Drosophila melanogaster: one gene and its partners. The protein of the gene in region 3 interacts with the protein of the main gene of each other region in a pairwise test. Each region holds a gene or a part of one and is shown on either strand. Other genes may lie near its edges.

Evidence for each region.
Region 1: the proteins of phol (region 3) and sv interact in a two-hybrid assay, tested with the Drosophila melanogaster proteins (one large-scale study listed by BioGRID).
Region 2: the proteins of phol (region 3) and CG3726 interact in a two-hybrid assay, tested with the Drosophila melanogaster proteins (one large-scale study listed by BioGRID).
Region 4: the proteins of phol (region 3) and CG11906 interact in a two-hybrid assay, tested with the Drosophila melanogaster proteins (one large-scale study listed by BioGRID).

What each region holds. Positions count from the first base shown.
Region 1 is NC_004353.4:1,086,193-1,092,235, reverse strand, and holds the start of sv (shaven), read right to left. Parts: upstream 3,439-6,043; 5' UTR 3,174-3,438; intron 1-3,173.
Region 2 is NC_004354.4:5,915,161-5,921,133, reverse strand, and holds the start of CG3726 (uncharacterized protein), read right to left. Parts: upstream 4,038-5,973; 5' UTR 3,507-4,037; intron 1-3,506. Other genes in the region: Shmt (serine hydroxymethyl transferase), read left to right, coding at 4,665-4,871.
Region 3 is NT_037436.4:9,451,734-9,458,607, forward strand, and holds phol (pleiohomeotic like), read right to left. Parts: upstream 4,549-6,874; 5' UTR 4,005-4,548; intron 3,910-4,004; 5' UTR 3,807-3,909; coding exon 1,797-3,806; 3' UTR 1,070-1,796; downstream 1-1,069. Other genes in the region: ghi (ghiberti), read left to right, coding at 247-300, 392-437, 565-710; CG3437 (uncharacterized protein), read right to left, coding at 4,665-4,947, 5,033-5,569, 5,629-5,802, 5,861-5,916; CG3552 (uncharacterized protein), read left to right, coding at 6,256-6,624, 6,678-6,874.
Region 4 is NT_033778.4:19,280,089-19,286,043, forward strand, and holds CG11906 (uncharacterized protein), read right to left. Parts: upstream 3,874-5,955; 5' UTR 3,695-3,873; coding exon 3,464-3,694; intron 3,392-3,463; coding exon 2,684-3,391; intron 2,624-2,683; coding exon 2,281-2,623; intron 2,220-2,280; coding exon 2,042-2,219; intron 1,980-2,041; coding exon 1,535-1,979; 3' UTR 1,330-1,534; downstream 1-1,329. Other genes in the region: rib (ribbon), read left to right, coding at 1-26; AANATL5 (arylalkylamine N-acetyltransferase-like 5), read right to left, coding at 4,463-5,131; CG10474 (uncharacterized protein), read right to left, coding at 5,485-5,955.

The DNA of each region.
Region 1 (6,043 bases), on a different chromosome or scaffold from region 3:
TCTTTTATTATGAAAGCAACGAGATATTAGCGTAGCCAAAGCAGTTGACCTATGCAGTTATGCAAGGAATGGATATGTCTGCACAAAACAATTGTTGGTTAGTTCATCAAATTCTTCTGCTTAAAGTGTAATTAACAACAAATGTTATGTATTTTATTCGGCAATGACATTCAAACTGTTTTAAAGGCAAGCAGGAAATGCTATAGTCGAATGGCTCGACTATCAGATATTTCACTTATCGTCGCGGTTTGTGGGTGATAGAGTGGGCGTAGTCAAAATGTTTGGTAACACAACTAGTAAAATGACAAAAAATAATTTTCTTTTTTTAATGTGTCATAACGCTTCTGAAAGTTTATAGGCGTTGGGTGGCGGACGCCTTCATTATCTAAAATAATCTTGCCGTATGACTACAACTAGAATCTGTAGATCGACTCGTCTAGACAGTTATGAATATATATTTTATAAGATCGAAAACACTTCTGCTTTTCAACGAATCAACACGTAATGGCTTTAATAAATGAACTAAATCAACCGAGCTATATATAAAGAAAGTTTTAAAGTGATACATTCAAATAAGAGCATTTTATGATGGAAAACGCGAAACTATGAACTAAATTAATGTATTTTTATATAAATGGTATATCCCGATTTGGCATATTTATGAATAACTAGAAATTTTAAAGTTGATTTCCTCGACTATCAAAAACTCGTTACTCAGCTAGTGTGAGTGCTGGGAAAAAAATCATACAGCGAAGGTGGCTCTAAAATTTGCTTGTTAATCTTAATCGTTTCTTTCTATTAGAGTTACCTAGATCACTGCGTTCAGACCATGGCCAGATTGTTGATCCTGATCAAGAATGTATGTATTTCATACGGTAGGAAACGATCCGTTCTGCCTGTTACATACTTTTCAACTAATTTTACTCTACGAGTAACAGACCAAATTATGATATTTTTATACCCGTTACTCGTAGAGTGAAAGGGTATACAAGATTTTGTGAAAAGTGTGTAACAGACAGAAGGAAGCGTCTCCGACTATATATAGTGTATATATTCTTGATCAGGATCAATAGCCGAGCCGATCTGGCCTTGCCAGTCTGTCCCTATGAACGTCGAGATCTCAGGAACTATAAAAGCTAGAAGGTTGAGATTCAGCATACAGATTCTAGAGACATACCCCCCTGTTGCCACGCCCACAAACAAAATTGCCTCGATTACATTTTTGAAGAATTTTTGGATATTTTTTCATAATTTTATTAATTTTATTATAACAAAGAGCTTAGACTTATAAGCATTTTTTTAATTTTTAGTAATTTTATTCCACAATATTTATCGCTTAGCCAAAATTTATGAAATTTTCTCTTTGGCATTTCCACTAGCTGCGTAACGGGTATCTAATAGTCGGCCAACTTGACTATAGCAATCTTTCTTGTGATTCGTACCTTTCAATGGCACACATATATTTCACTATTTCACTATCCGCTCTTGTTATCCAGGGCAAGGTGCACTTTCTTCCCGCCGAATGAAGCCTTAACCCGCGCAAACGTGGTTGCTAGCACTTATTCACCTGTTGTTAATTGACCTTTTTGGGACTGACACTCCCCTAAGGGTCAATATAGCTAAATGATCGAGTCAGCTACGTGTATGGGTATGGGAATAAATGTGTTCGTTTAGGCCATCTGCTTTCTTTCTACATTTATTGTTTCCTAAATAGCCTAAAATGAAAGAGCGCTAAAGTCGAGTTCCCCGACTATCAGATACCTATTAATCAGCTAGTAGCAGCAATGTTTAATAACATTGGAGCCATTTTTTTATGAGAACATTTTGGGGTTCGTCGATAAAAATTAGAATGACAAAAAAATAAAATCAATAAAAAATCAAAATACATATAGTGCCTGCGTGGCACAGGTATGAAACAAGCTTGCACCGCTTTTATAATTCACGAGGAAAATTAATTTAAAAAACAAGAGAGAATCCTACAGTCGACTTCCGCGACTATCAGATACCCGTTACTCAGCTAACGCATTTCTTATTTTTTTAATGATAAAAATGAGAAAAAATTTAAAATTTGGTCAAAAATGTGGTCGTAGCAGTCTTGGGCGGCTTGTAGGCGTAACAGCGGGCGTTGCAAAAAGAAAATGTAGATATAAATTTACAAAAACTAAAGAAAATATGAAAAAATATCATTTTGCAAATATGTGGGCGTGGCAGTTCTAAACGGTTTGTACGCGTAAGAGTGGGCATGGCAAATCGATAGAAATTTAGGAAACAAATATGAACAAATTTCAAAATATATTTCAATGGCGTGGCAGTTTTGGGCGTAACAGTTGGCGTGGCAATACCTTGTGCTGCGTGTATGTCTCTAGAATCTGTATGCTTAATCTCAACCTTCTAGCTTTTGTAGTTCCTGAGATCTCGACGTTCATACGGACGGACAGACTGTCAGACGGACACACGGACATACGGACAAGGTCAGATCGATTCGGCTATTGATTCTGATCAAGAATATATATACTTTATATGGTCGGAAACACTTCCATCTACCTTTCAACTTTTCAACGAATCTGGTGTACCCTTTTACTCTATTAGTAACAGGTAGTAGTTAGTTAGTACAAGTTTAGTAGTACAAGTTTTGTAGTTTTGTTGTTGTGTTCGAATTCGAATAAAGGGCTCGAATTCGATATACACATTTTCTTGTTGATAATAATAATAATAAATAAAAAATTAATTAATTTTAAATTTTTTTTATAAATTAATTTTAAATGAATTTGGAAGTATATAGTTAAAAGTCACGGTCGGGCACAGCGGTCCTGTTACGAGGTCATTGGAGCTTCTACAATTTGTTATTTTCATTACCAACTGGTATTCAGGCAGAATAAAACCCATACTTCATTCAATTCAACAAAATTAAAAGTGGGAAAAATAATTGTATTTTCACACACTCCAGCCGAATAATAGCTATGGGGAGCCAGAATTTTTAGTTAAGACAGTCGAGGAAAACAAAGAAAACAAGTATTCCAAGGTCAGGAGCGTGGGTAAATATAAGCTGTTCAAATTCGGAGTATATTTAAAGCCGAGCTCAAGCGCCTTAAGTGTTTAATGTTATATAACTTGGATGATTAAGGAATTATTTTTACCTTAATATATTTAAAACTATGCATTAGTTTACTCACTGAATATTTTCGTTTTATAAAGATTGGTTAACATATAATTGTTTTAAAGAATTTCAATAAATTATTAGTTATTTAGCGTCACTCAGTTAAGGTAGTGAAAACGTTCAAATACGAATTTATACACTAACAACATCACTGAGTCAAGGAATCTAAGCCTTGAAAGGTAAAAAAGACAGCGCGAACCACCTGTTGGCTAAAAATCCACGAAGCAACACGATTTCCAGGTGGATCTTGAAGCGTACGCCAAGAGATCTCGAGCGAAACTAAATTGTTGAATGGCAATGGACGACGGAAGCAGTTTACATCGCTCAAACTCAGCCGACCACTTTTTTGAGTGTGTTTATGATGGCTTATATGTTTGAGTCGCTCTCAAAACTTGGCCCAAGGCGGCTTTACGGTTGGTCGGCTACATTCGCACTCAACTGGCGGTCGACTAATCGGGAGACATAGCGTGTTGTTCGGATGCAAAAGCTGGGTTTGAAATACGATCGCCGCTTCAAACAGAACGAGTGATAGAGAAAAGGAAAGAGAACAAATTAGTTAAAGTCACTGAATGAGAAGGGATGAGATGGTATTCTTGTTTTCCCCTGTTTGGTCTTAATGATCAGAGTGTTGGAGTGCTTATACCCGTTACTCGTATAGGAAATGGGTATTCTAAATTCGTTGTAAGGAAGAAGAAAGCGCTTCGAAGCGTTTGGTATATCCCTGATTATGATCGTTCTTTTTTATATCTGTCAAACCTCAATCTCATAACCCTACAGTCCTGACTGCTTAAAGTTTCCTAAGGTCCAGCTGACCCATATTTGTCTAATTGTTTTCCACTAAAGGCCTATATTTATTGGTTCCGGTTTAATATTCCTATTATTAGATACATATAAAGGTGTTATCTTTTGGCATTTAACAACAGGCTCTCGAAAAGTGAACGCAAGACTATGTATTAAATTTGAAGTAACTACATTTTGTTGAACGGAAGCTAAGTCAGTTTATATACATAAGTAATCAACCCCCTTTTAACCGTCTGGATCGCGTATTGTTACATTGAGTGACCTGCATTCTACAGGTTGACAAGCGAACAAATATTTATACATACATATTTGAAAATGTGTAATATACGTTTGTAAATAAATCGTTTAATATACATAGGTGTACTAGGAGTACAGTCGGCACTACCTTATGATATACACATACATATATTGTTTCTATGCTTCCATGCATACAAAAATAATCCACATTTTCGTCAGAGTAGTGAAACCAAGAAAAAGTTAAATTGGCATCCCTGAACGACGATCTAAAGCAGGCTGCTGGTACTCAAACTATTAAAGAGAAGACGGCGCGTGCCAAGCAATCTTCGACTACCGTTGCAAACTACACGAAAGGGAGAAGAGAGATTACTCAACCGTTTCAAAATTTAGAGCTGACTGGTGTTACTATCGTATAAAAAAAACAAATACAAATACAAAGTTTTTTTTCATTTATGAAATCTATTAGTTTATAAACATACTTAGTCAATATTACTAGCCACTTGTCCTCTTTAAAGGGGACTGAAAAGACATCAGAATAAGATTTAACTTTTATCATTTATGTCAAAATATTGTTAAATATATTGAAAAATCAAAGAGTGACGTTGCCGTGCGTCTTTGTCTCTGGAAGCAACAAGCGGACAGGGTCAGATCGACTCGGCTATTGATCCTGATCAAGATATATATACTTTACATGGTCGAAAACGCTTTCTTCTAACTGTTACATACTTATCAACGAATCTATCTTTTATTCTACGAGTAACGGGTATAATAATATGTTACAGAATTATGTAGTGTACACAACAGAATATTCAGGTGTTCATTTACCGTCATCCCTTGAATTCTTTTGCGATCGAAGGAAATGTCTTGGACGGTTGCCCGCGCTTTATTTGTGAAACACCTGTTAGACCGAACCGGAAAAAACCTACCCTTCGATCGCGCCTCTGTTAATTTTCCTTTCTGCTTATATATACTCCTTACGTGGTTAATTCGTGCATTAGTACCAAAACTGGTGTTAAGTCACTAGCAAAAGTTCAATGATCTTAAATATTATTATTATGTTATTATATATGTATGTATTTATATGAAGAATTCTGACCAATATAAGCTCTAAAAAAATATTCGAAAATTTTTTTTAGTAGCTTTTCATTTAGAAGGCTTTTCTTTGGTTATTCCGCATGCTAAACGGTGGGTAACTATTTGTGTTCATATGTGTGTATGTGTGTATATGTAAGTATATAAATATTTTTGTAGAATTCGCCTGGTAGCTTTTGATATAAACAATCGGTATTCATATGTTTTGGTATGAAATTCGGTATTTCAATCGTGGCTCGTGGCTTTTCACGGTCTGCAAGCCAACCGAGACAGCTTTTCCGCCGTTTCTTTTGGTTGTTTTTGGCTGCTAGGTACTGGAAATGCTACTGCTGTATATATTATGTTATGTACTATTTATTTATACTACTTACTTTGTTGGTATACTCTTTCCCGGAATAATACATATAGTTATTTCCGGAGATTTTCGGGAGCCGAAAGTTAATACATACAGACAGAAGGGGCTTTAACAAGTCGATAGCACATAAAACCAGAATAACATGATATCGGCAAACTAAGGTTTATATACTCTTCCAATTAAAACAATGTCTTGGATAAAGTTTTTTAACCCGTGCCACTAACGTAGACGACCGATACATGCCAGTCAGTCCCCTTGTCCGTCGGTCCATCTTTATAAAAGTCAAAACCTATAAAACTATAGATATCAAAAAATTGAAGTTATCCGTCCAGATTCTAGTAACTCCTACGAGGCTTTTGCTTGTATCAAAACGTAAATTATTTATTTGTTATGTCTATGTA
Region 2 (5,973 bases), on a different chromosome or scaffold from region 3:
ACTCTAATGTCGCTGCATTCCAACAAAACACTCTAAAACCAAATCAAGTTTACACAATGCACTTTTGCAAAGCTCGCTTATCAGCCAAGGTTTTTTACAATAAATAAAAAAAAAATGATGAATAAAATGCAGTAAAAAGTGTGAATGCGGTTGTTGCACATACACATATAAATTGAATTAATAGAAAAGTAAATATAATTGAATCAGTAACACAATTTAAGCTGCAAAATTGTTGCAAATTAGATAGAAATAAAATGCCACATTGCCACGGAAGCGGATAAAATTAAAAAGGCGAAAGAAACAAAATTGAATTAAAATGTATTAACGCAAAAAAAAAAAAACACAAGCAATGAAAAAGAAAAAACAAAAAATACCAACAAGCCACAAAAAACGTTTTGTGATTCATAATTTCGATTCGTATTCGGCTTTTTATTGTTATTATTTTATTTATAAATGTGTAGTTTTTTTTTTTGGTTTTGGGTGATTTTTGTAGAGTTCGCTTTTGTTCCCCATTTGGAGTGTGCGTGTGTTTTGTTTGTTTTTATCTTTCCTATTTGAAAATGTTTTTTTCGTTTTTTTTTCTCTGGCGGTTAATTGCATAAAAATAGAGGCCGTATTTGTGTTGCCTTTTTTTGTGATTTTCGATCGCGACATAATTTGATTTGAAAACCTTGGACAAACAGAGAAACAAAAAGCGAATGAAAGAAACTGGGAGCCAAAGAATTCTCGACTTTCGAAGGGCGATTATTTTTCTCAAATTTTCTCTATTATTTCCCATTGTTTCGCTTGGCTTTATGCGACGCAAATAGTTTTTATCTCTTCGCATTGCATTGATTTCAACCTTTTTTTTAAATTATTATTACTACACTCTTTTTCCCTTTGGAGCCCCAGTATTTTCAGCACTTCTCAAAGTTATCAGCGAAATTTGCCTAGCGTTAGTTTTGTTTTTTTATTTTTAGTGTCTCGCCCCGCAAATTCATATAAATATAAATATTTATACACATATGTGTGTATATTTATGGCTTCTTTTCTTTTTATTTTTTGTTATATTTTTCCGATTTGCCGTCTGCAGTGCAGTTTTTTATTGTTTGTTTTTAATTATAAATATGAGCTGATATCAGAGAATGAGGGAAAAAAAAAGTGGGGAGCTCAATGAAAAAGAAATGGTTGCAAAATCAAACCCTTTTTCGGCGAAATTGAAATTGAAAACGCTGTGAATAGATTTAAGGAACTTTGTCGGCATTTGACAAACATTATTTACGCATTGCAAATTATAGTTATCATTTTTCATATATAGTGCGCAAAACATAAACAACCCCAAAATTTACGTAAGCGAATTTTATTTGCCAACTACCAAAATGAAAATAAATAAACACATAGAGTAAACTAAACTTAAAGCTGGTATGACAAAAAATGACAACAACAAAATAATCACACACGAAAAACAATATTTCGTGTCAAAATTTGTGTCGTTTTTTGCTTTATTTCCTACTGCCGCATTGTTTTTCTAAAGAATTTTTATTTGGTTGCGGAATAACACGAAAATAAGTGTGATTTTGTTATAAATACTTCACGGCTTTATTTCGACTCGACTGTGGGAATACCCAAAAGTTTTTTACATGATATATCATATATTACGAATAATTTATGATAATGAAATCTAGATGCAAAGCTTTCAAATCTCGAAGCCCAGGTAAATATGCATTTATTCGAAATCGATTTGAAAATGTTTTATATTTCGAATTTGGTTTTGTTGGAATATCAATCGTTGTAGTTTTAGACTAATTTTAGGCTTTATTTAAGCGTTTCTCCCACATTTATAAATTAATTAATTATGTCCATAGGTATGTATATGAACATATATGCATATATGTATGTATATATTCCAAATTTGGGGGCGTGGCACGTCGGATGCTGACCTGCCCTTGTTTTTTTGCCTTTGGCTTGCTTGTTTGTTATCGCTTTTGTTCTGATTTGTTTTTGGACAATGAACTTGAAATTTGGAGCACGCGTTTCACATGTAATTGAAATGTGTGTGAGTGGGGCGAAGGCGGGTGGTGGGGGGTCGATGAAGATGGGGAGCAGAGAGCAGCGAACGAGAGAGAGAGCACTCACGCACACCAACACTAGCGCACAGAAGCCAGGGCCGGATCAGGGGGTAAATATTCGAGTTAAGTGCCATTAAATATCTTAAATGTTTTACGTAATTTTGTTGCTCAATAACCTATATATTTTGTTAACTTCATGTTCTTCTTGCAAATCGGTAGCTTGGTTCAAAAATTTCCAGATTCGCTCCTGATACGCTCTCTTCCTCTCTCTCTCTCTCGCTCTCTGCCCCCCCTCCACACAATCTTCCACACACTGATTCGCTGTTTTATTTTTTTTTGCGCAGGCGAATGCCGCTGTGAAAACAAAAAACCGAATAAAACAGCCGACAAAAACAAAAGGAAGGAGAAACGTTGACGGCGACGTCACTCAAATGCGATTTGCAATTTTAATTTTTGCCGTTCATGTTTTGCAGTTTTTGTTCATATAATTAAAGTTGTAAAAATGAATTGCCATACAGCAAAAAAACGAGAGAAAAGTAAATTGCAAATTGTAAATTGCTTTTGCCATAAAGGCGGAAATGCCTCTCTCAACAACAAAAAAACTCGCATTCAAATAGTGCAACAAAAAACTAAAAACAAATAAGCCGAAATCGACAACAAAAAATAAGGCTAAACAGGTGAAGAAGAAAACTAAAAGCCACAGAAATAACAAAAACCGATAAACCAAAATTTAAAACCAGCACAAAAAATAGCCCCAAAACTTAAGATATACAATTGTGTTCGAAATCGTAGTAAAGCTATTTGAAGCGCCACAAAAATTTACATTTTTTGTAAACATTTTTAAGCATCGACTATTATTTTGGGTACAACTGTAGCAGATAAACAACAGCCCGCAAAAAACCCTAATTATCAAGCTTAGACAAAAACTACAAAAAAAGCGAAAAAATCACACAAAAAATGTAAATTACTGGCCTATGAATTTAATTAATTTTTTGCAACTCTGTAGGTTTTTTCCCCTCTTTTTTCATTTTTATCTTGGCGATTAGTTGGCAGCAACAATTACAATAAGCGAAGAAAAAGCGCCAATCGTTTCCTGAGCGAAAAACAATTGTTTACAATAATTGCATGCGATTATTATTTATGTCAATTTCGAATATTCAGCTGGCAAAGTCAACAAACCCGGAAACCTTCGGCGAGAACAACGGAATTTTTATCGTAATATTTTGTTCGCCTTTTTGCATTCAACAAAAAAGAGCACGCACAAAACAAAACATGCAAAAAAAAAAAGAAGCACAAAATATATGATTGAAAAACAAAAACGATAAAAAACAAGGGGAGAGCGGCGAACAAAAACAGAAAATCGCACAAATAACACACAACTTTTGTTTGGCTAAAAATAAAACGACGTTCGTTTTGCGTGTCTTTTTAGCACATGAAATAAATAATTTGTTTTCTCACCTTTTCTTTATGACTTTTCGCGCTATCTTTTCTTTTGGCGTTTTTTTCCCCCCTCGAATTTCTTTTACTTTTCCTTTATGCTTTTTGTTTTGTTATTCGAATCGAATTGCACACGCAGCAGAATTGTGTCGAAAAAAATTCATTCATTCATTTAATTTCTGGCTTGCCATTTTTGTTTCATTTCTATATTTTGTTTTTTAACATAAAAAAAAATAATGCGAAACAGCGAATTCAAAACGCGCGCTTTTTCTTTTGCCTTGCGAGCGGATAACGGTAAATGCGCACAGCAATGTTTTAACATTAAACACTAACCACTAAATTGTCAGGAAATTCACCAAAAATAAATGTTCTGTTTTGGAATTGTTAAGAATGTTAGGCTCATGTGTTTGTTAATATTTTCCAGGAATTTTCTTTTAGCGGCGCAGCGAAGTGAAACGTACCGCGGAGGAGACGGATTTTTGAGTGAAAAGAATTGAACTTTCGTTGTTGCTTATATAGACTTTGGCTGGCAGCAATGTTGCTGGAGAGAGATGTTGCACTCTCCCAATCGGTTGGCAACTTAAACCGGTTCGCAGTACCAGCAATTTGGCGGGTACTTTAAATGCCTTAACGTTATCGCGCGTTTGATAACTACGTACATTTTAAGGGATTGAGAGAAACGCATATTATGATATAAAATAAAGTGTTAATATTAATTGAAGAGGCACACACGCTTAACATTTCCACAAATTGTAAATATTTATACAAGAATTGGTAGCTATCGCTAGCGTTGCCAGACGGCGCCAAAAGCTTCTAAATCCAGCGATCCAACTACCCAAACAGCTGATATCTGTTAGCCTGGTAAATGTTGTTTACCAACGTAACGCGTGTTTTCGCTTCGTTGTATTTTCGGTGTCGAATATTTTGGATGCTGGCCAAGAGATAGCGCAGCGATCGGGTCGGAACTCTTGGGCGGACTTATCACTGGGTCGGTCAGGGGTCACGGGTTATCGTTATCGCTTATCAGCCAGCGGCGGCGTCATCTCAGCGCCGGCGACTCTTCTCACTTTGCGGCAGTTCCGATTCGAACGCAGCCGTGTGAGTACTAATAATTACCAAGGATTGTTGAAAAACATCCACTAAAATCTATAAAATTCTGCTTATTACAGTTACAAAGACATGCAGCGGGCGCGCTCTACACTGACACAAAAGCTTCGGTTTTGCCTTAGTCGGGACCTGAACACCAAAGTTGGCAACCCGGTTAACTTCGAGACTGGAAAGCTTAGCGGAGCTTTAACTCGCATCGCCGCCAAAAAACAACCATCACCAACGCCATTCTTACCGGCGATCAGACGATATTCGGACTCCAAGCAGAGCACTTTGAAGGTGAGTTCGCCGGGAAAGTCCCAGGCAAAGTGAAGGGGAGGGTGGAAAAAGTGTGGCTAATTGAACCATTTGGGGGACTCGCATTTCGATTGCCTTTAATTCTTGCAGTGATCGCGGTGCTCAGAAAGTTTGTGTTTCGCTTCCATTTGCGGCTCCTGGCATGCCCGGCTAATCGCCATGTGCTTCATGCGTTTCATTCAGCCATGTGTTCCCACACTGCACTATCCCTACGTGGATGGCATGCCATCGATCCGCTGAAAGTGTTGTTTATAGTAGTATCATTGTTAAGTACCTATGTACATGTGTAGTTTAATTGAGATCTTATAGCATATGTACATATATGTACCGTATTTGTATCAGTGTACTGTTAGTGTATTCAAAACGTCGCCATGCGCCAAGTTTGAATCTTTTTGATTCACATTCGCTACCTCGGCCTGAAACTCGTTTTTGGGCCTACTCGAATTTCTCGGCTGTTTGCGCCCTATCGAGCATTGTTGTTGTCATTCTCGTTTGCACTTGTCTAAATATTTAAACTGATAACGCAAAAAAAAAAAAGAATCTGGCATTGGCCATTAAATCGAATTTCCCATTCGTGTGGGCAGATTTGTATATAAATATACATACATACATATGTATATGCATTTTGCACTCAACTTGTGGCCAGAAATTAGCATTCAATTTAGTGGGAATCACCAGTTTCCAGTTTTTGCAGCTAAAATTTTGCGTGTCCAATTCATTTCTGCGTTGAAAATAGAAGAATCTTCCAGGGATTATTAGTTAGCAGCTGGAAACGTTGAACAACAAAATGGTACTAGAGATACGTAATTTGCTGGAGGAAGCTACATACATATAAACTTGTCCATTTTCTGCCAATATTCTCCATTTCGACTATATACGTACGTTTCCCGATCTTTCCGAAGTGCGTCAGCTGCAAAGGGGGGGCAGTGTCCTTATCGTCGTCCGGCGACTTGAACTGGTGACCCAGACGGATGATAATCACTTGACGATAAGCGGATCGCAAATAGACGCGCTCTCCCATCCATGGGGGGTCGCATTTTCGATCATGGGCGTGTTATTGCACCCAAGTCACTTGGTTTCCCTG
Region 3 (6,874 bases):
TCAAATATTTAAGTTCTAATTAACTTTAACAGTCGATATACAACCCTTCTATTAGCATTCTAATATTTTATTTTATTAAACACGCATTTTGCAGCACTAGGCGGTCCAAATTATCGATATGACAGCGATATCGATTAACCGTGTTTAAGTTAGTACACAGCCAGTAGGAGGAACTAAACAAATTAAACGCGCTGCACCCCTATTGTTTGTCCTCTTTTTAGTGTTTTACTCGATTCGGCACCCGCAATGCTTGACAACCTCGTGGAATTCGCCAGTTACTGGTGGTTTCGATACCTCATGGTATGTAATGGTCATAAAATTACGCACATATTCCACCTGAGAAGCTGCGCTCCACGGGATTTTGATTTAAATGAACCCCATTAACTTGCAGGTCACCGAGCTGTACATGGTTGAAAAGTGGGAGCGGATAACGATACGTGAGTGTTAATTGCTGTTAATAAAATAGCACACCCTCGAACTAGTTGGGAATATCCGACGGATTCGTCATGCTTCTGGAGAATTTATACGCTTATCAGGGTTATTATTGCTCTCGGTTCATTGCAGACGTCATTTTCATGGTACTCTTCTGCGTTTTCTGGTACTTCAACTACTCCGTGCTGCTCTCGCTGGCCGGATTGATTGGCCCAACAAGTGCCTCCATCGCGGATATTATTCCCGGAGTTCAAGGACATGGGCTCAAGGTCACCTAAAATACCGATCAGACCATGCCCAGACCAATCGTGTGTACTGTTCTCCGTTCCAATATCCAAAATAGCCGCGTATCTGTACCTCGCCGCGATGCTTTATCTAATCCGCACGCGTTTATACACCGCAATCAATGAATGGAACGTAGCTGTAGGCGACACATGTCCAAAGAGGCGATCTAATCGCTTGCTGATCCGAATCTGAAGTGGACAACACCCGGCGACTGTCCATCAATAGCTGCCTCACCGTTTAATGTAGTTATCTAGCAGTAGTTACAAGTTTAAAGTCAGTTAATAAATCTAACGCTTACACAATCGCACTGTGAAATAGTTAAAAAAAGAAATGATAAATGATATACGCAAGTGTTGTTGCATTGTTTTCCTGGTTTATTTTTGTTTAATTTTGAAGAGGTATTTCCCTTGTTTATTCCGACTTAACTGATGTGCTTCCATTTGTGAATTATTGTTAGCGCCAACAGACGTTGAACATGCTAAATCCGTACTTCAATGCTCTAAGTGTTATAATTCATTACAAAAATATATAGATAGCCTATGGTGTATGCGTATTGAATATGGTAAAACTAGTTTTGTGTATTTTTCTTATTTTTTTGTTTGTTTTGTTTTCGTAGAAAAGAAAGTGCGCGTTTTGTTATTCGAGCGAAGATCGCACACGATTAGTATCAGATCAAATTGGGGCTTTTTAAGGTGACAGTTTGGCTGAGTTCTTCGGGGATTACGGTTCAGTTTTGGTTTTGCGGGGGGACTCACTTAGCCTACGGTACAAGCTAAACTCTTAGAACTGCTCTTCATCCGTGAAGGAAATTAATTAATGGCTACCATCTAACTTCCTTTTGCACTGCAATCCTATTTTGTTAGAGAATGAACTTACACTACTTACTTAAAGGGCGGGCAGCGGGCGGATGTGTTCACCAGGTGACAATCTTGTCCGGCCGCTCCGCTCGTTACAGGTTACAGATACAGATAAAAACTGGCTACAACTAACTGTACAATAATGCCTTCCGGAGCCAAAGGAGCTTTAATATTTTAACCATCTCATGCCAATACCTGCCACACATTAAAGCGCACTACTAGTTAGGATGTTAGGGACGTGCCATCCAGCAGCACCGACGCCACCTCCTCGTTCTGTTCTACGTACACTAGACGAGGATCCTCGCCAAACTCCAGTCGCCCGTATCTGGCCACCAGCGGTGTCTTGTTGTTGCTCACTTGCGGTGCGCGCGGCCACTTCCTTTTGGGCTTCGTGTGCGTCAGCATGTGGGACTTGAGGTTCGTTGACTGGGCGAAGCACTTGGAGCAGCCATCAATGGGACAGTGGTAGGGCCTATCGCCAGTGTGTATCCGTACGTGGGTGCGCAGATTGAAGTCCAGCGAGAAGCGCTTGCCGCACCCCTCAAAGGTGCACTCAAAGGGCTTCTCGCCGGTGTGCACCAGCTGGTGGCGCTTTAGCTTGGAGCTCTCTACAAAGCTCTTGCCGCAGACGTTGCACACATGACCGCGCGGTCCGTGCGTGTGCATGTGCTTGCGCATGGCCGAGTGGTTGCGAAACTCCTTGTTGCAGCCGCGATGGGTGCAGCGAAACTTTGGCTCCTCATCCTCTTCGCCGGCCGCGCCAGCTGCTCCCATGGCATTACCAGCCGTCTGATTGGCCACTGCAGTCGGTAATTTGGTTACAATTGTGGGTCGTTGGGGTCGGGCTGGATTGCTGGAAGCCACTAGTGGCGGTGGGGGATTTGGTGTCGCCACCTGAGCCGCCGCCGTGAGTTGCCTCTTTGTCACCTTTGACTGATTTCCCGCACTTTTCAGTCGCACATTGGTGCTGCTGTTCTGGAGCACTAGTTTTGGGAGAGCCGGCTGTGGATTCGGTACACATCCGTTGACCTTCGATAGCGCTACCGACACAGTGGCTGGACCTGGTCCCGGTGTCTGTATCAGCTCCACATTATTCGGCATGTTCTCGATAAGCTCGATGTTACCATAAGCTTCTTCCAACTGGTTTTCCGCATAGATCAACTGTTCACTTAGCGGCTGGCTGTCCTCCTCGCCTTTGACATCGCCCATAAATGCATTAACCACCTCCTCCACATCCGTGACCGCAGAGGCGCTGAATGGATCGGGTAGGATGACGTACTCGTTGCCGATGCCATCGCTTAAAACATCGTGGTTGATCATGTGCTCGTCAATAATAAGCTTTGGCATGCTGGGTGATCCTTCATTCTGGGCGGCGGAGGAGGACGTCACGGATGTGGTGCCAGCACAACCAGGTGGTTCCTCCAACTCCTCCTCCTCGTCCTCATCCTCCGAGTTGAGCGAGGACCAAAGGGTGACATTGAACTCATCCTGCGTTATGCGTATGGGTACCTTTGTTTGCTTCCAGCGCTTGGCCGCTGAATTTCCCATGGGCCTCTCGACGCGACTGCTTCCAAATAGCTTAAAATCCTGCAGCTGGCCATTCGAACTGTTTGAATCCTCGGTCGCCTTCATATAGAAGTCGCTCTCGAGCTGCTCCTCCTTGATGTTTGTGGCCTCGATGGTGGTTAGCATCTCGGAGGCAATCTCGAAGGCATTTGTCGTAGCCGGCGCGGTAGCCTCATCATCCTCATCGCCATCGCCATCGCAGGAGGATGTCATCTGCTGTCCATCCTCCTCGATGAATTCCTCATCGTCGCTGGTCTGCTGCATGATGATCGGCGGCGGCAGTGCATCTGCCGTAGCCACCGTGACCGAGGTAAGTCTGTCCAGCCGATCCACCGGATAGTATTCATAGTGCTCAAAGAATTCGCCTGAGTCTACGACGATATTAGCCTCATCATCATAGTCGTCGATGATCTCCTCGATCAGGAAGCTCTCGCTTTCCTCGCCCATCGGATCGCCCGCCAAAACGGTGTACGGATCTTGCTCGACTATGGTAGCCGCCGTAGGCTGGTGTGCATGAGTGAAGTATGCCGACGACGGGGCGGAGTGCAGGGGCAACGGTACCGCCGCAGCGGCCAGCGATAGATTCTTCACGATGGGCGCTCGTATCTGATGCAGTTGAGGCTGGAAGTTCCCTCCGACGCCGACGTGATGATGATGACTTGTCATCGCGGCTGCTCCGTCTGCCTGTCTGTGTGCCTGTATCTGTATGCTTGTATTTGTGGGCGCTCTTGCTTCGTGCGTGAGTGTTAGTGTTGTGTGTGCGAGCGCGCTGCGGAAAAAGTGGGCAATTAGTATCTGGCCAAAAATCCGTATTATGTATATATCTCTATATATTCGCCAGACTTCCAAAGTGGACAAACGTACGTGTTTTCGTCGGTATTGCTGCACTGAACTGGCCTTTCCCTCCACCTCTTTTTCCACTTTTTTGTGGCCAATGCCTATCGTTTATTGTGCGACGGCGGCGGCAGACGGCGAATGATGCGTACCGCTCGCTCCGCTCCGCCCGCCACTCTCCTGCTGCCCAATGGCGGGTTAATTCTCGCTTTGGATGACCACCTCGATCCCGCTCACCTCGGGCAGTGTAAATATTTTGAATTTTGCCGGTTAATATGGCGGAATTGTATTTTCCAGAAACGGCTCGGTACTTTCTCTCGCGTTGCGTGTGTGGGGTGTGTGTGTGTGTAGTGTGCAGCGACAGGCGCCACAATGCAACCCTGCGCGCGCTTTGTGTATATCTTAAGCGGTTTATTCAGCGGAGATTGGTTATTCTCTTCGCATTACTTCGCAAAACAGCACAAATGTAATCTTAACTACTATTCAAAAATTGCATTTTATTAACCTCCAACTGGCAAACCATTTATTAGCTGTAAATACCGCGGCGTTCTGTCTTTCGATAAGCGATAGGTTTGTTGTTCTGCCACCAGGGTTGCCACCCGACAAGAAAACAAATGCGCAATAACAATAAATTAATCTCCATGGCTTTACTATTATTTCGAGCTATTTACAATTGTTGCTCATAAATAACTAGTTAAATTTCTTTAGCAATAGAACTTCTGGAATATAAATACGCTTCAGCTTCGACTCCACAAAGCGCTCGTGTTGGGGTGTAAATACCTCTGCATTGTGGTTAAAATCAGTCTTATTAAATTGCACCGCCTTCCTATCCGCTGTTAAGGATATATTATAATGCCGACATTGGTCCTGCAATCCTGTTGGCCCATCGAACAACAGTAAACGCAACAAGTAAGGAACCGGCACCGTAAGCTGTTTGTTGTTGTAGGCATGCGTGAAAATCTGCAACAAACTCCTGCAAATATACATACATACATATGTATTTACATTAAAAATGCATCATGTCAATAAGAGATCCAATAGAAAAAGTTATACTGTACCTCCTTATCACCTGCAACTTGGCGGCAGCTACCGCGCACAGAATATGCGGCAATTGTGGCACACCCATGAGCACTCTATACAAATTGCCCTGTTGGAAGGCCAAACAGATCCCAAAACAAAGCTTAAACGTCGCATCCCGACGCACATAGTCCGGTAAGGTGAGGGCGCGTGTAAAGGACTCGGGAGAACCCAGATTAAACAATTGATACAGGCTCTCTATGAAGCAGCGCCGCTCAAGCTCACGAACGGTGGGTTCTCTAGATGATTCCAAGTCCTCCAGTTCTTCGTAACAGCAAAGCACTCCCGTGAGGCACTCTTGCAAATGCTGATTGCATATCTTGAGATCGAACTTCTCGATGGGCTCCTCACACAAGCGATAGCGACTATATGCCAGAAACATCACAATGGGCTCTAACAGGCAAATCTTCTGACTGGCATCGTACATCTGGATCACGATCTCCCGACGCACCGCCCTCAATCGATCGAATATGAAGTCGTAAGCCACATTGTACGGCTTTCGTGTGTCCAGGATTATGCTGCACAGTATATTAATTATCAGATTTAACTTGGCTAACTAAGCGCCTAATATACTTGCTCCTTGAGCAGATATTCCACTGTTTTGGTCAATGCCGCTTCTGTGCGCATTTCCTTGGGCATGGGCATCTTGACATCGGCGGCGGAGCGTGTAAACTCCTTGACCAGGACTCCTGGCTTGTTCTTCTGGCCATTTTTTAGCTCGAAATAGTGCAAAAGCTTCTCGCGAATACGCCTGAATGTATTAAACGGTGTTATTATATTAAATTCGGGTTTAAATTTCGTTTACCTACATTTTCGCCTCCCCATCGGGACAGAAACTTTCGCAAGATCCTCGAACTTGGGCCATTTGTTGATGAATGCAGCCAATTTCAGCAGCAAACAAACCAGGGATGCAGGTCTTTTGGATCAAAGGCGTAGCTCAAATTTTTTAATGGGGTTCAGAAAATAAAATATGCTTCTTAAATCTCGTACGCCAGCTTCTAACTAATAAAATTCCGAAATTGGGACTTTATTAGGATCCATATTTATAAAAACGAACGCGCTGACTCGTTTTTTTTTTTAACCCTCTTGCCACGCCGCTGAAGTCAGCAATCAGCTGTCTGGGCGGTCTGGGTTGTCAGGTTGTCTGGGCCTTAAAATTGTACTAAATTTTCAGTTTGTTTTTCCCTGCCCAGCACAAAACGAAATGTTTTCGCGGCATTTCGCAGCCTTCTTTCGATTCAACCGATATGTTGCCCAAAAATACAGCAGTTTTATAGCCGCCGGCTTTAGCAACAGGTTTTCGCTGAAGGTTGCAACTCTGCTGCCGCTGGTAGTCCTCCGATCCGCGGATTGCAGGCAAAAAGAGGACCAGGAGGTAAAGCGACCGGTCCGTAGGCGAACCATGAGCAAGGTTAAGTACGAGACGAGTCTGGAGGGGAGGGCGCAGCTCTATCTCAACGCCATGAAGGTGAGATGGGACCAGCTGCACAAGGTGCCCGGGCTGTTTTCATATCAATTGGAGAAATCCCCTCAGAGCCGGAAAATACCAGGATACTGGGGCTTCTATGCGGAGGTGAGTGTCATATTCTTGTTCTCTAGTAATATTTATTGATTCTTGTCCTCCAGCTTAATTCAGATCGAAACCGTAAGCGCCGACGTCCCCAGACCATCGAGAGCCTCAATCCCACCTTTAAGCACATGATGTTCAACTTCAATAAAGTCGATGCCCAGGAGGTGATCATGACCATTGATGATGCACACGGCAGTCCCGAAGTTCAGATGATCATAAACAAGAGCCCAATCACCAAATATCATACTTTGAT
Region 4 (5,955 bases), on a different chromosome or scaffold from region 3:
AGGACGCTCAGGCCCGGGCCGACTGATTAACGCTCACCATGGCCTGGCAGTATGCCACGGACAGCCTAGACTCCTTGGAGTAGGCCAGGCTTAGATAGCAACTCCTATTATTCAAACCCAATTAGATCCATCCTTGTGTTACTTTCCTTACTTACCATCGGCGACTCAGGCGCCGACCAGCGTTGGTGAAGCTTTAAACGAAGAAACCTCATCCCAGTCGTTGTGGGAATCATCCGCACCAGCACCTGGCACCCATCGAAAATCAAACCCACACACTAAACTAAATTGTTGTCAGCATCACTTTGTGCCTAAAAAAAACAGAAATGTTAGGATATAGATAGTAGGATAGGACAGCATAGAATACAGATAGGTACCCTTAGGCTAGGCACTCGTAGGCCATCTTTGGAAACCAGCTAGTTGTAGGCCTTAAAACAGTGTTACTCCACCATCCCAGATGCCGGCCAACTGACAAAACTAAGATATGTGTGCATATGTAAACCCACTTACATAAGACTGAAGGCGGAATCGGGAGGCGGTGGAGGAGCTATCTAAGGACAGAGCAGTAGAGGCTCCCATCAGAATGGGTTAGCGGGTTAGCTACACCTTGTACAACTTTGTTAAATGCCAGTGATTTGTTTTAAAAATTATTAGCACTAGATTATTTATAACGACCATGCATGTACGTGGCCTTACTTTTATGATTTTCGAATCGAAGAGAAACCAGAAGATCCCACTTGAACAGAACTACCTCAAATAGCGTATCTTTGTTAGCCTCATGTTATCCTGTTAGCGAGATATTTAAATCGTCCTGGGTTGAATTTATAAGACTGACACCGACTCAAACGTACCACGAGCAAGAGCACACGCATTAAAATAAAATAAAATAAAATTATAAACTAAACTTAAATACGAATCGAGATCCTTAGTTGAAAATCTGTAAGTTTCCCGCAAATTGATTAGTTCTAAGGCCATCAACTAAACGTAAGCACTAAAACTAAACTATTTATAAGACAAAACAAAACAAAACAAAAAACAACACACATGAAAACATGCGCTGGGGGCAATGCAATAGGCTCTTTAATTATAAACACCTACACTTATGCAACTTATATAGTCGTACGGTCGATAATGTTAAATTGTTATACGAGTAACTCTGTACATAGCATCATAGTCCACACATACACATGCGAATTATAAATCTAGTTTTAAGTATTCCGAATTGTACTGCAATTTAAATTATCCCTAGACACCCGACTTTCATCATGTAAAGATCAGCGAAGGAACGCGAAATAAACTGACTGAAGAATCAAATAACTAATGCTCTTTTATCTGACAACGGCACAATATTTATTATAAAAAATATGCATATCTAAATTTACTAGAGTTGATTATACAAAGAGAACGCAATAGTCGAGTTCCTCGTTGCTCGACCAAAGAGTGTGCATATTAGCACTTTACACTCTACTAGTAACGTGTAGCATGACCTATTCGAATATATTGCAGACGAAGAATGGAGCTCACAACAAGTTCGTAATCAGTGACATCCAACGCAGTTCGGATTTCGCTCCTCGAAATCACATATTCCGATAGCGAAACGAAAGGGTTTATGTTGAGGCAAGTGCATGGGCTGCGTGGAGGGCATCGGTATTCGCGGAATATAGAACTCACGTTCTTCGTACGACTTGACTATTCGAGAATAGTCCGATGACCGTGGCACATGGCAGTTGACAATCGAGAGCGAACGATCAATGCTGATGAGGGGCTCGTCGTTGGGACTGTGCCCCAGCTTTTTGCAATGGGCCAGCAGCTTAGCCTCGCTAAGAAACTCCAATCGGCAGAAATTGCAGTGGTAATTGATCCCTTTCCTGTGCAGCTGGAAATGCCGATCTAACTGGTGCTGCAACTCAAACTCTTCGCGGCACTTATGGCAGATGTAGAGGCCGCGGTTCTGGAGATGCATATGGTAGTCTAAAAAGACCCTGCAAGGAACACAAATAAACCAATAAACTACTTTCTTTAAAAAGATCGCTGCCCCACTTACTTGCTGGTGAACACATCGCCGCACTTATGACAGTAAAACCAGCTCATCTTCCAGTGCTCCATGTAGTCGTGCTTCATTAGAGCCACTAGGGTGTCCGTCTGGTAGCCACAGTCAGGCGTGAAACAAGTGAATGATTTCAGTCGCACCTGCGTCTTGAGCAGGTCCAGTAGGTAAAGATCTGAAAACGGATAGCAAGACTTTTTGATACAGAACGATAACATATTTCAAAGGATATTTACCATACTCCTTGTCGGTGGTCATGTGCGTTTCCACCATTCCGTAGTCTCCGTACAAAAGGGAGAGATTACCAGCGCTGTTGCTATTGCTGCGGCTGTGGTTAACAATCCAGTCGCCAGTAAAGTTCATACGTCGCGCGTACATGGCATCCTCCTCGCCCTCTTCTAGTTCCTCCCCACCGCTTTCTATCTCTTCATCTTCTTCGTCCTCTTCCTCCTCATCCATGTCGTACCTATCCCAGGCTTCGGAGCATGCCCGTGAGCGAGAGCGCATCGAGCATGCCCTTGGCACCCGGGAAGTCATAACGGTTTGGCCAGCTTCCTGCTGCTCCACAATTGCTAAGGCCTGTACAGAAAAAACGGAACATATAAGTATATCATTTTTGGGGGATACATGCATACTAACCTCCTGCTTGGCCTGGCAGATGGTGTGATGCATTTCCCACTCGTACTTCGTGTCCAACTGGGCTTCGCACAAATCACACGGATATCGCTGCTGATGCTTCATTCGCTCATGCTGTCGCTTACTGATTAAGGTCTCAAACTCTGCGTCGCAATGCCGGCAGTAGTATATGCGCGATGATCGGATGGCTCTGGATGGCGCCTCTTCATCATAGCTCGCCTCATTTAGTACCCGGCATTTGACGCGCGATGGACGTGGCTGCTTCCTGCGCGTTTTGGAGCAGCGCCTCAAGTGCTGGGCGTAGTAATCCCGTCGAAAATAGGCCCGACCACATTCGTGACACTCCAGCCGTGTTCGCCATTTCCAGCCCTCCGCATGCTTCTCTTCCGTTTCCTTGGCCGATGGAGAATATGGTTGTTGAGCGAGGTATACTTCCAGCACGGAGCAGGAAGAACGCGAGCGAACGCTCTGCCCGCTGTGGGCCACCTCCTCCTGACTCTCAATCAAGGTGGTCGACACCTCTGCATCAGCAATGGGTGGACTGTGCTGGCTGGGCGATGTCGTGGTGGTTGTCACCTTGGTGGTTTCACCACCGGAACGCTGCAGCCGTTGCATGCGCTGCATCAGGGATCGAGTGACCTCCGAGTGCATGTTCAGCTTGCACACGCACTCCACGCAAATGGCCTTCAATGTGGATCGGATTACATCTGCCTGATAATTAAAGAATTCGAATTCAAAGAGTTGGCATGGATGTCGGAATTGGATGATGTCTTGAGTACCCACATGAATCTTCCAGTCGCGACTTAGGCGACGTTGCATTACATGGTTGGAGCGCAGATCCAAAAGCGCCGATGCCTTGGCGGCACCACAAACGGTGCAGTTGGCATCGTTGGCCTCCGCTTCCCGCTCGGCGCCTACGTGGTTCTCATCCTGATCCTGCCGATTGTCATGTTCAACGGAGCAATTGCCGTTGGTGCTGCTGGGTTCCGGATCCGGAGCCGTGGCATCCTGCATCCTGCTGTAATAGGGGCGCTACTGGATAACAAATGGCACACTCAATATATTGCACTTGATCCTTATGTCATTACTGTGCCGCATTAGATGCGTGAGTCGAAAAACTACACTCAAATCCGCCGAATTCCAAGTGTTTTATCTAGTAAATATTTTTTGAAGAGCAGAATGCAGTGTGACCGTTGTTGTCATTGAGAAAATATACCACCGGACACTTTAAAGGTCTGGCAGCACCAACCGGTTATTTCAGTTAGTTTTAAATTAAGATAATTCAATTTTGGATTCGACATTTTCTAATTGCTTTATTTAATACATATAACTTAGCGAATATAATACATATGTACTTTCTAAAATTGATCACATTAGTGAGCATATCATTTAAGGGAAACACAAATCAAACAAAATTTCTATATGTACCACAAAACAATACACTACAGAAATAAAATACAACGCACTTTCGAAACGAGAAACATAAATTTGACGACTTTAAAGAAAAAGTACAATTGTGAGCCCACAAGAGGCTTATGCCGTTTGCAATCATCAAGTGGTTTACATAGCAGTGAAAAGTGCTTACTTCGTACTTGATAAATTCATAATCAACACAATCTGTGCACAATAAAGTAGAGCCCTTAAATTTTATTACTTTATTAGCTCCATCTGGACATGAATTTTCACCTGGGCGGTCTCTATCAATTGTCAAGTCCAAAGGTTCTTGCGATATAAGAAAACACCCCTATTTGTTACTTAGTTTTGCGAATTCGTACTAATTTATTAAAGTTTTGAGGCCAAGACCCGAATGTGGGTATGGGGCGCTGGTGGATTATATATCGGTCGGCCCTGTTCGTCCTTGTAGTCAGCATAGGCCACCGAATGGATGCACTCACATCCCGCTTTCATCGCCGATCGGGAGGAGTAGTGATTGGTGCCACTGCCGATGAACAGACGGAGTCCCCGCAGGCGACCCAATTTAAAGAGACATTTGGAAAGTATGACCAAGATACCTCTTTGCCTCATTGAGGGGTGAACGGAGATGACCAGCAGACTCAGGTAGGAGGAGACTCCGAAGCGTTCGAAAATGTTGGCTTCGCGCTCCACTTTGGCTATAAATTTCCTGCTGCGACCCAAAGCATTTGGCTCCATTTCCTCGGCTTCCTTGTGCTGCTTGGCCATTTCGATGGGATCCATCGTCTCCGCCACGGCAATGCCAACCAGTAGTCCCCCGTTGTTATCGTCGAGTGCCACTATGGATAGTCCCTGCCTGATCACCGCCAGGTATTGCCTATCCACTTCCTCCTCATGCTGCAGGTGAATGGGCTCCTCGAGACCCATTCCCATGGGCTCGTCGTAGTGAAAGTAGTCCGTCATGAAGGTTTTCACTCTTGGATAGTCGTCCTCCTTCATAACTCGTACGGTTATGCCATCATTTTGACTAAGAATCATGTTGGACTGAGCAGCGATGTTTGGTTTCCCGGCTTGATAAACTATGGTTCATTCTACATGACTGCAGGAGCCTTTTAAAGAAACCGAACTGAGTTATCAACAAATACAAGCATAATAACTTTTATTATTTTCTATATTCAGATATGATATGATAGATAATGTTTGCGTGCCATTTGCAAAAAATGAACATGCTTTTATTCAGCCTTTTAATCTACCGATAGGTCTAATCTGAGGCACATTTTCTTTTATGCAGGAGCTAATCGTAATTCTTCTACTCCTGGTTTCAGATACATTTTAAAATGGCTAAGTGCATAACAATTATAAGATTTATAGTCTAACAAAATTAGTAAACATTACCAAATAACTTGTCTATCGTCTTCGGAAGGAGATTTCTCAGGATTCGCTGAGCACTCAACCGATTCCGTGCGCACCGGTTGTCCCGGACTACTGACCATATAGGCAAACTTTCCATTATCCCTGGCCATGCCAGTACCATGGCACCTGACTGCGTACGTTCCAAGCCGGTTTGCAACGATAACGGCGACTTCGAAATACTTTACGTGCTTCTGGATTCGCTGGATGACCAACTCGACTGCCTCCGCCGGTGTTTTGCCCGCCCGCATGGCCTCCACCGCCAGGAGAGAGGGCAGGAAGCGCATAAGGATGTCTCCATCTCCAGTGGTAACAGCGGCGCCCACTTCGTTATCCGCATAGGCAGCGGAGCCGGGAATCGAGGCGTCGCCAACACGTCCGGGCAGCGTGTAGCGTAGTCCGTTGGTGGAGGTGCCCACATGGATGTGACCCTCCTCATCGATGGCGGCCAT